3 linked regions of the Drosophila melanogaster genome follow. The protein of the gene in region 3 interacts with the protein of the main gene of each other region in a pairwise test. Each region holds a gene or a part of one and is shown on either strand. Other genes may lie near its edges.

Region 1 (3,756 bases), on a different chromosome or scaffold from region 3:
AACTGGAAATAAATTGCGCCATAGTTGCAGCAGCCACACAGCGACCAGGGTTGCCATACGGCGCCGATTTTTGCGAATTTTTTTTGCCTAGCCAGCACTTTGTGTGCCCCTTCTGCGTGTGGGTGTTTTGGGTTTTTTGCGTTCGCCGGGGGTTTCCCTTTTTATTGTGGCCGCTGGGTGAAAATTGTTTGCATTGCATTCTCTGCTGATGCATGCGAATTGAGAAATATTTGCAATTTAGCAAAATACACCCGGAAGCGGCTCCGGATTGAAGCTTGAGCTCCTTTTGCCACATTTCGCAATTTCGATTTTCGCCCCGCATTTGTATTCATATTTGTATTTGGTTTTTCCAATCGCACACGGGCCCGACTTTCCACACTCTTACAGTGCGTGCAAAATGACGGCAATTAGGTGTATACGCTGCGCTGATTTATGTTTTTTTTTTTTTTTTGTAGTTGATCGCCTCACCTTCGAAAATAGCCAGGAATGCAATATCCATTGTTTCAGGGAATGGATTTCATCCGAGTATTGTTTTTCGGTATAAAACATTGTTTGAGAAATATTTGTAAAATATGACAAAAACTTCTATTCTATTGCTGGCAATTACAATTTGAGATCACTCATCAGTGACCACAGATTCGAAGAAAATCAAATGTATTTGTTGAGGTACGCAAACTCCTTCGCAGCTCAGATCAATTGTCGAGTTCAGTGATGCAGGAGGAGATAGAATAAAGTATAAATACAATTTGTATGCTTGATGTAATTTCATTTCCACTTATCTTGGTATTTTCTCTGCATTTTGCTTCATGCGATTGATTTATCGCACAGAAAATAATAGGCAGCCAATGTCTGTGCATCCTGTGAAAGGACTCGCTCTCGGCCTTCCAAGCATTCAATCCCTGAGCCGGGTTCAGTTTATATTCAAATGCTTACGCTTAAATGTCAATAATACGTGAAATTGAACTGCCAATTCAATCTTCACAACTACTCCGCATCGCTCCTCCACTTCTCCAGTGAAATCATTTCCATATAAGCGTTTTCCCATCTCGTCTATTTATATATATGTATGTATTTCTTTTCTTTTCGTTCGCAACTCTTTTTATTTTCCATCCTGCGAGAAAAATTCTTTCTGTTCATATGTGGAAAAACTATTTGCAAAAGTCTCAAGTGTGCTCGGTTCCCGGCCAGCAGAGGGGCAAGTGAGGCGAAGGTGTAGGTGGACGTGTTGGTGTTGGACTTTTTAAAACGACGCCTGCAAATTGTACGCAGATCACATTACACTTGCTCCAACGGACGGCATGTGCAACTGCCGGCTGCCTCTGTGGATTGCTTTACATTTGGCTGCACTTCCTACCCGGCATTCACTCGAAAAATTGAAAGATTTATTTCTTAGTTCTTTGCGATTACATTTCCACCGAGCTAATGTGTTCCGATCCAACGGCTACGTAGTGGCAGTTTGTCAACTGTCATTGCATCAGACATTGAATGGGCCACGATAGCAAATGGATTGTGGAGGGTCGGGTGAGGGCGGGGCAGTGCGGGGCAGCGCGGGAACCTGTCGCATTTTGTTGACAACTACATTGCAAATACGGCAAAGTAATCAGTATTGTGTAAATAACCAGTTATGTGTCTGCGAGTGCAGCTGACAAAGCGAGTGGTAAGCGATATGCACTGGATCGCGAATAAATTCTTGAAAGCGTTTCCCCGATTTATCTACCCGATGCATTTGGCAAGATGCGAACGGAATCGATAATCGAATAATATGCGAATATCACTCATACGCAGTGGTGGGCGCCAACGCATGTAGCACACTTTTCAGCGCCAAATGTTTCCTCGTGCGAGCCGGAACAAATTTAATATGTGGCTAAGGTCAGCTGATAAGCACCTTAGTGTCTGGGAATTGGAAAAACGCAAAAAGCACTTGAAACTATGCGTATACTTTCTGCGCTCAATGGGCAGTTGTCGGACTTCTGACCGAAGGTAAACCAATGAAAAGAGGTAAAAATGTCCAAGAAAACTGAGTCAACGGGCCAGTTAAACACCGTTTTTCTCATCGGCAAGTCGGTCGCTGTTTAAAACTATTCAACAAATTAAATTGGTTAATAATATTGAAAATATTCAAAAGGATTGACTTACCTAAGAGGCAGTTCCTAATAGTTGACCATTTCATTGCTGACCGCTTATTTTCGAATTTTTGAACGAAATTGTGCAAGTGCCTTGTTTTCTCTTACATAATTTAGCAACTACAGTTTTGTAAAAGAAAAATATATTTCGAATAGACGTCAGAAGCAAGAGACTAGTTAACTCAATTGCTCTTACTTTTACTTCTCATGTAGTGAAGACAATTCTAATCTCATTTAATCAATGTAATTTTATTGTATAGATATTTGAATCAGTATTTTCCGGAGAACTTTTATTCTTATTTTTCTCATTCTTACGTGGTTTCTCATCGATTTAATTTTATTTAAGACAATGGCCTAAATCATGGTCAGATCCAGCCTTGCCATGTCTCATGTTTTTCTCGTTTTCATTCCTCTGTTTTCAGTTGTCTTCTGACCATGAAAAGCTGGCCATGAAACATTTTTGCAACTAAGCATTGGACAAGGCACAATCCGCCCAAAAGGAAAAAACGGATTAACTTTTATGTGAAAGTGGGCAAAGGATAGACATGGAACCAGGAACCATTCCATCGCCTGTTTCAGCACCAGTTGCTGCGCCTGTGACGCCATCAGCAGTGGCTGCCCCTGTCCAAGTAGTAAGTCCTGCGGCAGTGGCTCCCGCACCAGCGGCACCGATTGCAGTCACTCCAGTTGCTCCACCGCCCACCCTTGCAAGTGTGCAACCGGCAACAGTTACTATTCCAGCTCCAGCTCCAATTGCTGCCGCATCCGTCGCTCCTGTCGCATCTGTGGCGCCTCCAGTTGTTGCAGCTCCAACTCCGCCGGCAGCAAGTCCAGTTTCAACACCACCCGTTGCTGTTGCTCAGATTCCGGTCGCTGTTTCAGCACCAGTGGCACCTCCCGTTGCTGCAACACCCACTCCTGTTGCCCCAATTCCTGTAGCTGCGCCTGTGATAGCGACACCACCTGTTGCTGCCTCTGCCCCCACTCCGGCTGCCGTGACTCCCGTTGTTTCGCCTGTGATCGCCACACCACCTGTGGTTCCCGCTAACACCACGGTTCCCGTTGCAGCACCTGTAGCTGCTGTACCAGCTGCTGTTCCTGTTGTTGCCCCAGTTCTTGCGCCTGCCGTTGCTCCTGCAGTTGCCCCCGTCGTCGCCGAGACTCCAGCTCCACCACCTGTTGCTGAGATTCCGGTTGCAACCATACCGGAGTGCGTTGCACCTCTCATCCCCGAGGTTTCCGTCGTGGCAACGAAACCACTAGCTGCAGCTGAGCCAGTGGTCGTTGCTCCACCGGCTACTGAAACCCCAGTCGTTGCTCCGGCTGCAGCTTCCCCCCATGTGTCGGTTGCACCAGCTGTGGAGACCGCAGTGGTCGCTCCTGTAAGTGCTTCGACTGAGCCCCCGGTAGCTGCTGCGACTCTAACAACTGCACCAGAAACGCCAGCCCTTGCTCCAGTCGTTGCCGAGTCCCAAGTTGCTGCGAATACTGTTGTAGCTACACCTCCTACTCCAGCCCCAGAGCCAGAAACCATTGCACCACCTGTTGTTGCAGAAACCCCAGAAGTTGCTTCAGTTGCTGTTGCTGAGACAACACCACCCGTTGTACCTCCTGTGGCCGCAGAATCAATACC
Region 2 (3,756 bases), on a different chromosome or scaffold from region 3:
GCAATCAAACTTCGCAGCCACTTCAATGGGCTTGAGGAATCAGTTCCATGGGATGTCATCGATTTTTCATTAATACCTGGATTTTACCTAATTTCCGCAGGCCTTGAATTTTGATTATCTCGCTAATGTGATTTTTATTTTAGACTGTCTAAGGTACACCGCAAAAAATAAAATAAGATAAGGACATTCTTGTAGATGAGTGCAATCAGTTTACTAGTGTAAATTGTTGGCATACAAAGTGGCATACATATATCATGAAAATGTTCTACTTTCGTCCTGTGGGTGTCTTCCAGGAGAGGCGATTCCTGTGAATGGTCAACCTCGGCTTTTTAAACTGTGCGAGCCCACGGCGATCTTCAATTATCGATGAAGTAGTGTAGAACATGATGTGGTCAACCTTGTAGTACTTCGTCATCCCCATAAATTCTAAAGTGCTTATTATGTCCTCCTCGCGGAAGCCAGTCGCTTTGCTCAGCTCTTCGATGGTCACCAGGTCCGGTGATGAGTGGTGCCTCAGCAGATTGAGGAGGATGTGGCCCCAATAGCTGAGGTAACAAAGTCTGGCAACTTTCGACAGCGGCTTCTTGGGACCTCCGATGCATGCCTCCCTGCGAGAGATCTCGTAGCTCAGATCAATCAACAACTTTCCGTATCCCTTGCGCATATAGGGCGGTAAAACAAGGATGCAATTCAGGTTGATATTCAGCATAGTCTTCTCCCTGGCGAAGTAACCTGCAAAGTGCTCGCCATCCTTGTCCTTCAAACACAGGATATAAAACAAGAACGAACTCGAGCTGTAAAGAATTTTCTTGTTTTCCAGAAAGAGCTTTGACATTAGGCAGAGGCACTGGCAATACAGCTGCTCCTTATGGCCATCGACCTCGTAGATATAAATATTGTCTTTTCGGTATAACAAGCTGCCCGGCGGACACCTCTTCTTGCAATCGTATAGGTGGTAGGAGTAACTTTTCCGCAAGCACATGTATTTTAGGCAGAATTCACAAACGTAAATGGTGGTCGCCTTGTCGTTTATTACAGGATAGGGACTGGAAGACGTGGTCTCGATCTCGTAACGCCCAAATTGCACCTTTTCGATGTTTCTTATGACTTTCACTTTCGCGTCCTCTTTCTCTTTCTGGACATCACTTTTTTCATTATCTATTGTCTCCTGGCGCTGGCGATCATCCACATTGCTACTGGCATTAGTGTGTAATAAAGAAATCATATTAGGTTCCTTGACGCCTTCCAATTGCTTCTTCGGTGTAGCCCCTATTCTTTGAGCTTCGATGCACGATCCAGTAATGGTTTTAGTTTCCTGAATGTTTTTTTGAAGAGATGAATCGTTCTGAAGCTGGGATTTCCCCATTTCGGACTTAGAAGCACTTTGGCCTAAACCGCGAGTCGCGGAGGATTCCTTGGCATTAGTCTGAAGAGTGGCAAAAAAAAAATAAATTATCAGCAGTTTTTCATTCCTCATATGATATTCTTTGACCAGTATTGTTCTTACCAATTGCAGGGCTCTCGGAATGTCCGGCAATTTCGAACTTATCCCGTCCTGATCGCCCAACGGCTGATACTTTAAATGGTCACCTGATCTGTTTTCCTTGTCCATTTGTCAATTCCTATTGCGAATTTCACCCTTTTTAGAAAGCGTGGTTTTTCACTAGTGATGACACATTTAGCTTGATATCGATTAGTGATATCAATAATGAAACGATAAAGTTTGTTGTCAAAAAATCGAATCATCTAAGGAAGCACCAATATCAAAGCATTAAAGTTATTTTTAAATTTTAATTCCAATTTAACTTTCTGAACATATATTGAGCAAAAATATATATTATACAATAAGTTGTATACATTTTTTTCAGTGAGAAAACATTTCGGGATATAATCTCAGTCCTACGCCACACCCTGCTACCTTGATCTATCGAAGACGCCAGTGCAGGGACAACCCGGCTCAATACTAATTAAAATAAATGAACATTTACGTCGTCACAGCAGGTGGATGTGAGGGCGAGAGGCCAGGAGACCGGGCGAAAGATTAGGTGACGAGCCCGGGCCAACGGGAGACATCATTAAAATGCATGGTTCAAACGGTGCGTATACTTAATATAGATTGGATTGAGAGTGTGTGGATGGCGGGATGGGGGGGGGGGGGGGGTTCTAGCAGGATGGAAAGCTCCTGGATGAGTTGGCTCCTTTTGCTACAGCATTCGCTTGCGGTGGCTGTAATCTTTATGCGCCATGTTTTTATTTGTATTTATTATTGCGTTTGCGGAGAGCAGAGTAGCGAAGAGCACACTTTGTTTGCAGGTGAAATATTCCACGCATCCAGCGAAATGAGAATTTATTGACTTCACTCTGCATATGTGCGTGTGTCTGTGTGTGTGTGCCTTTTCTATAAGAGTCTCTGTTTGCGTACACGTAAAAATATTATAGCGATTTGATATATAGCTTTGTGCTGCAAAATATCTATGCGCTGCAGAAATATAAAAATGTCATGTCTCTACTAGAGAATATTACACAAAAATGATTAAAATTATATACATACTTCGAATCTCATTAAAATCAAACACTTTTTATTGCTGTGCTGCTTCGTTTCCGCTTGAAACGTGCCCCCACTGCATATTTATCTACGTCACACAAGTTTGATAAACACAACCATGGCTTCGAGACAACTCGAACGTCTGTTTGCATTTGTGCTTAATAACTTTTAAATGATGCGGGGAATGCCTTTGAAAACGAAGTCAACTGAAAGGAGGTTCCTGGGCCCCGGAGTCATACTCCCTAATTAGAGCCGTAGAGTCGTAGGTGTGTGCAGAACTATTCAAACAGGCCAAAGAAGTCGAGCTAACTTGAAGCTTAAATATTTTTAATAAAAATTCTTTTGTTATTTCGATATGTTTAAAGCACAGCACAGCTTCTTGTTAATGTATATATACATATACAATATTCTAATCCCAGCTTAATTTCACGCCTCCAAGCTTTTTGGTTCCTTGTTATTACTCGATACCATCAGTCTTATAAAAATATTAAGGCCAATGTTTGGGCTGGTAGCTCTGGATCGATACCTATTAGCCCTTGACCTGTACGGTGAAGATAAGCGCTGGGCTCCCAATGGGCTTTGCGAAACGGTTTCCATGGGGCCACGTAGTGTTGGGTGGGTTTGGACGGGCTTTTGTTTAGCCAGCTGAACATTTGGAAAATGGTTACAAACAGTTTTGAATGCCCATAATTGATGCAGGAGGAGCATGCCCAGAGCCCGGCAATCGCACTTCAATATGCATGCCAGTGTGCACTGAATACCCAGTTCCAAGTTACCATCCGGTTGGAATCAAACCAAGTGTGGTCAGGCGTCTCTGCTGGGCTGCCGGATGCAAAGCCGGAATAGTGGTCGGTCGGGTTGCGTTAATTAATAAACTGGGCCTACTTTAAGACGACGCCTGCGTTGGCCAATTGCCATGGCATCCATGCAGTCGGGCAACTAGGCAACTAGGCAGTCGAGCCGTAACCGCAACAACTTCAATGCAGTTTTGTCTGCCACAAAGCCGAATTTCAGTAACTGGCAGAGATTGCATCCTTTGCGGATACTTAACGAGTCGACGCCTGAGGAACGGTCCAATCCCAAACTGATGCCCTCAAAGCCGTATAATTGGCCAGCGATGCGCCATCATCGCCGGCATGGACTCGATCGATTCCTTTGAGCATTAGCCAAATGCCGCATTTTTGAAGTAATAAAGCACAGGTCAATCTCAG
Region 3 (3,756 bases):
TATATATATATTTAAATTAAAATATAAACTAACTGGATAATAATTAACATAAATAATGTCTATATGTGTATATTTAAAGCGCAAAATATAAGTAACAATTCAATTGGTTCAGCATTATGTGTATAAAATCATTCTATACAAATATGCGTTGACAAAATTATAGCAAGAAACCTATCACTGATCCCAATTAAAAGGCTTCTGGTGAACCTGACCAATAGTTCTTTTCAAAATTACAATATTCTATTGAGTCTATATTTAAATCTTTGCTAGAAGTCCGTTTCATCGGTCGCGATCTCTAAACGGAACGCCCAAATAAATGCCACATTTAAGAACAATTAAAATCATCGTGTTTAAATAAATTACATTTATTTAATTTTATTTATTTTTCATGATTTTACAACATTGCAGCTTCGGCGGATCTTAGTTGTTGCGAATCATTCTCGAGTGGCCACTGAAAAGCATCTAGGATTCCGATTGGGTTTGACGCTCTGCGGACAGAAAAATGGCAATAATCAGCATTTGCTTTGGATAATAGTTTTTCATCACAAAGAAATAGTTAATAGTTGGTCGCTTGTAAACTTTTGGGGCGGGCAATTTTGGGATATATATATGTATATTAATATAAACATTATATTATATGTAAACACATCGCATTTGCATGCAGATCAGCTTGTAAGCGTAGTTAGAAACTTTGGGAACAAAGTTAGATACATAAACTGTCGTTGAGTTTAATGCGAACGCTGGGATAATTTGGGTTTTGTCTGCCGCGGCAGGCACTTACGCCAGTTTTTAAATTATTAATTTGACGATGGAACACCTAAGCCCTTTCATCTGAAAAATATATTCAAATATGACGCAATATGAAACATAAATTCTATTACTTTATGGAGCGTTTGTCTTGAAGGAATGGTAAGCAATTTTGCCTAATTTTGTTTCGATATTCCAATAAGTTACGAAAATTTTGAAATTAAAGTTTTAGAAATGGTTTGGATGAGTATGAACGCTTCAATGTTGATGATCAGGATTTAAACAGATTGCAAATATATATGATATATGCAATAATATACGAATATCTATAGATGGGAACAGTTTTTACACGCGATATTACGCCTGTAAATTGGCAACATTTTCGGAGTAAAGTGGGAACACGAGTGAACCGTTCATTTTTCGGTATTTTTCACATTGCCATTTCGAAACGGGGCTTTTTTCCGAAACTTTTGGGTAGAATACCGTGTGGAAACCACTTGTGGATGACTTCGAAACATTCCTAATAACACATTGATAACGGTTTCCCCTTGGATTTCGAATTATCCGGAGTTAATTTATATAATGGCTGCTATTTGGCCGTCTAAAGTATTATGATACGTACGAGCTGGCTTGCCATTTGCCCAGGGAGTGAACTTCACATGGCTCGCGTCGCGCTTGGCGGCATCCGCACGCAGTCCCGTCTTCAAGGACTCGCGCAAAATGCGAGCGGCGATGTTGGAGTATTGGATGTAGCTGCAATCGGTAATATTTGGATTAATTATGTTATGTAATCGGGCAGCAAAGGCGTTTTTATTTGCATGAGAATGCTGCCACAACACAGCTGGTGTGGCAGGCACTTATACAATGCTTACGTAATTCCGGCAGCTCTCCAGGCAGTCATTGTGATCGGTTTATTCGAAATATATTCACGCTACACAAAAAATATATAAGATATTCCCTTTCTGAATCCGGTCAGTGTGGCCAACTAGTTTTTGAGAGTTAAGTCAGAAATATACCGTCGATTGTCGCACATATACCTTAAATACTAGCTTACGCGCGTCAAGATAGCGACGACGACTGTGACTTCTGTTATTGAACATACACACTGTTAGTAACATTTGTTATCGATATCCAAACTCAAACTTTTCAATATTTAAAAATCTAATTTACTTATTTTTCTTCCTTTGGGAAAAACCCTAATAAATATGGATATGCCAAACTGTTTTATTCGAAAGAACGAAGCTTGTTACTTATTCATGCCTACACAAATAATTAAGCAGACATTGTTTAACGTGCCTTGCATAAAGCATTTCAAGAAAAATTGTTACATTAAACCATCAACTTAAAAAAAATATTCCCCAATTTTCCTTGAAATTTGTTTTTAGTTCTAGGCTAATTAATCAAATAACCACCAATGCACCCAAAATAGGATAAGCTAAGGATATATTAGATTATTTATTTATCATTGACTTTAAGTTAGACTTTACAGATAATATTTTAAAACTTAACAGAAGAAAACACTTAAGTTCTAATTAAATGTGTATATATACAGAACAAAAATTTCTTTAATATTCTTTAACGCATTAAAGAATCGATCTGACAAGTAATTGCTGATTTTATTTAGTTTTTCGGTAGACGCACACTTAAAAGCAGAACGCAATGGGAAAATTACTTATTCTTGCACATAATTAGTTTTCAATATTTTCGACATATTTGAAATAAGTGTTGTAATTACCCATTCTCTAATTAGGTTAACAAGTCCGGTTTCTAAAAGCAATTAGCATTGTATTCGTATATTACATGTTATAAATATGCAGTCTAGCAACTTTAATACAGAGTATACGCATTTTGCACATGCTCATGAATTCCTGTGTGGTATATATATAAAATATATATTGTATGTACATTAATAGTTGAAACAAAGCGCCTTGTTGATCCAGACATACATTATTATAGTTTAATAAATATACTTCTGACTGCACAAAAATGTAATTTATACATTCATATTTGTTTTTATTTCGGTTGTGGGTGTTTTTTTTTTTTTCTTTTTTCTTTTAATGCAAATTAGTTTAAATATTACGCTATTATATAATAATTTAGTTACAAAATAGAGCAATTTGTCGAACAGCATCGTCCAGAACCGCCTTTACTATTTTGTCTTTGATCTAAAAGAGGAGGAAAATTCAGTAAGATGTTTTTCGTATGCATTGCGAATTTAAATTTGAGCAGCTCTTTATAATTGAAACCATATTTCTTTTTTTTTTTTTTTTTTGAAAACCTACCTTGTGAATTGGGCTCTGGCAAATTATCACGTGGCACTAAATGCATAACAGTCGTTTTGCCTAATGGAAGTCCCAGTGCTCCTAAGGTTACATTGCAATGAAGAAAACGACCTTGATAAATTAAGCGCAAGATTTCGGCTTTCGACACAGTTTCGTGGGTCCAATCTGCAAGATATATGCACAATAATGTATTACATGGGTTTTCGCATCAAAAGTCTAACTCTAAAAGCAAAACAACTAAGAAAGAATTGATTTTAGAGGCCAACAAGCTGACAATATTTAAACAAACTTCAAAAGTCGCATTTATTTGAAATATCCAATAGATGCCATAAATATTAAATATTTCGTGGGTTGTATCCTTGTATCCTTGTGACTATGATTAAAGCGTTCTCAAAATAAATGCAGTTCACGCGAAAGGGTCAATAGCATGCCATTTAGAAGAAATATGTATATTTCACTCTATTTGTATTACGTAGCTTACATACTTAATCGTTAGTGATTAAAAATCATTCGCCGACAAACTTAACACTAAATTCACTCACCTTCTGGCCAATTATCAAATACTGTTTGTGCAATATCACCTGCGGAATCTGAAGGGCTAAAAATAAACTCTTTTGTTTTACCACTAACAAGAATGAGGCGTAGGTTAATCTGAAAAGCAAACGGATATTATTGCAATTAAATTCTTTTATATGATATAGTTTATAGTATATCGTTTTTTTATGAG

Evidence for each region.
Region 1: the proteins of sun (region 3) and Cpn interact in a two-hybrid assay, tested with the Drosophila melanogaster proteins (one large-scale study listed by BioGRID).
Region 2: the proteins of sun (region 3) and CG1894 interact in a two-hybrid assay, tested with the Drosophila melanogaster proteins (one large-scale study listed by BioGRID).

What each region holds. Positions count from the first base shown.
Region 1 is NT_033777.3:12,164,463-12,168,218, reverse strand, and holds the start of Cpn (calphotin), read left to right. Parts: upstream 1-2,032; 5' UTR 2,033-2,098; intron 2,099-2,545; 5' UTR 2,546-2,668; coding exon 2,669-3,756. UniProt on the Drosophila melanogaster protein: Plays important roles in both rhabdomere development and in photoreceptor cell survival. Might function as a calcium-sequestering 'sponge' to regulate the amount of free cytoplasmic calcium. It binds 0.3 mole of Ca(2+) per mole of protein.
Region 2 is NT_033777.3:28,482,508-28,486,263, reverse strand, and holds CG1894 (uncharacterized protein), read right to left. Parts: upstream 1,708-3,756; 5' UTR 1,613-1,707; coding exon 1,508-1,612; intron 1,427-1,507; coding exon 266-1,426; 3' UTR 202-265; downstream 1-201.
Region 3 is NC_004354.4:15,847,517-15,851,272, forward strand, and holds sun (stunted), read right to left. Parts: upstream 1,743-3,756; 5' UTR 1,649-1,742; coding exon 1,620-1,648; intron 1,501-1,619; coding exon 1,370-1,500; intron 832-1,369; coding exon of another isoform or gene 818-831; exon of another isoform or gene 782-817; intron 489-781; coding exon 463-488; 3' UTR 343-462; downstream 1-342. Other genes in the region: UBL3 (ubiquitin like 3), read right to left, coding at 2,848-2,912, 3,030-3,194, 3,572-3,680. UniProt on the Drosophila melanogaster protein: Activates the G-protein coupled receptor mth in vitro, leading to increased intracellular calcium ion levels.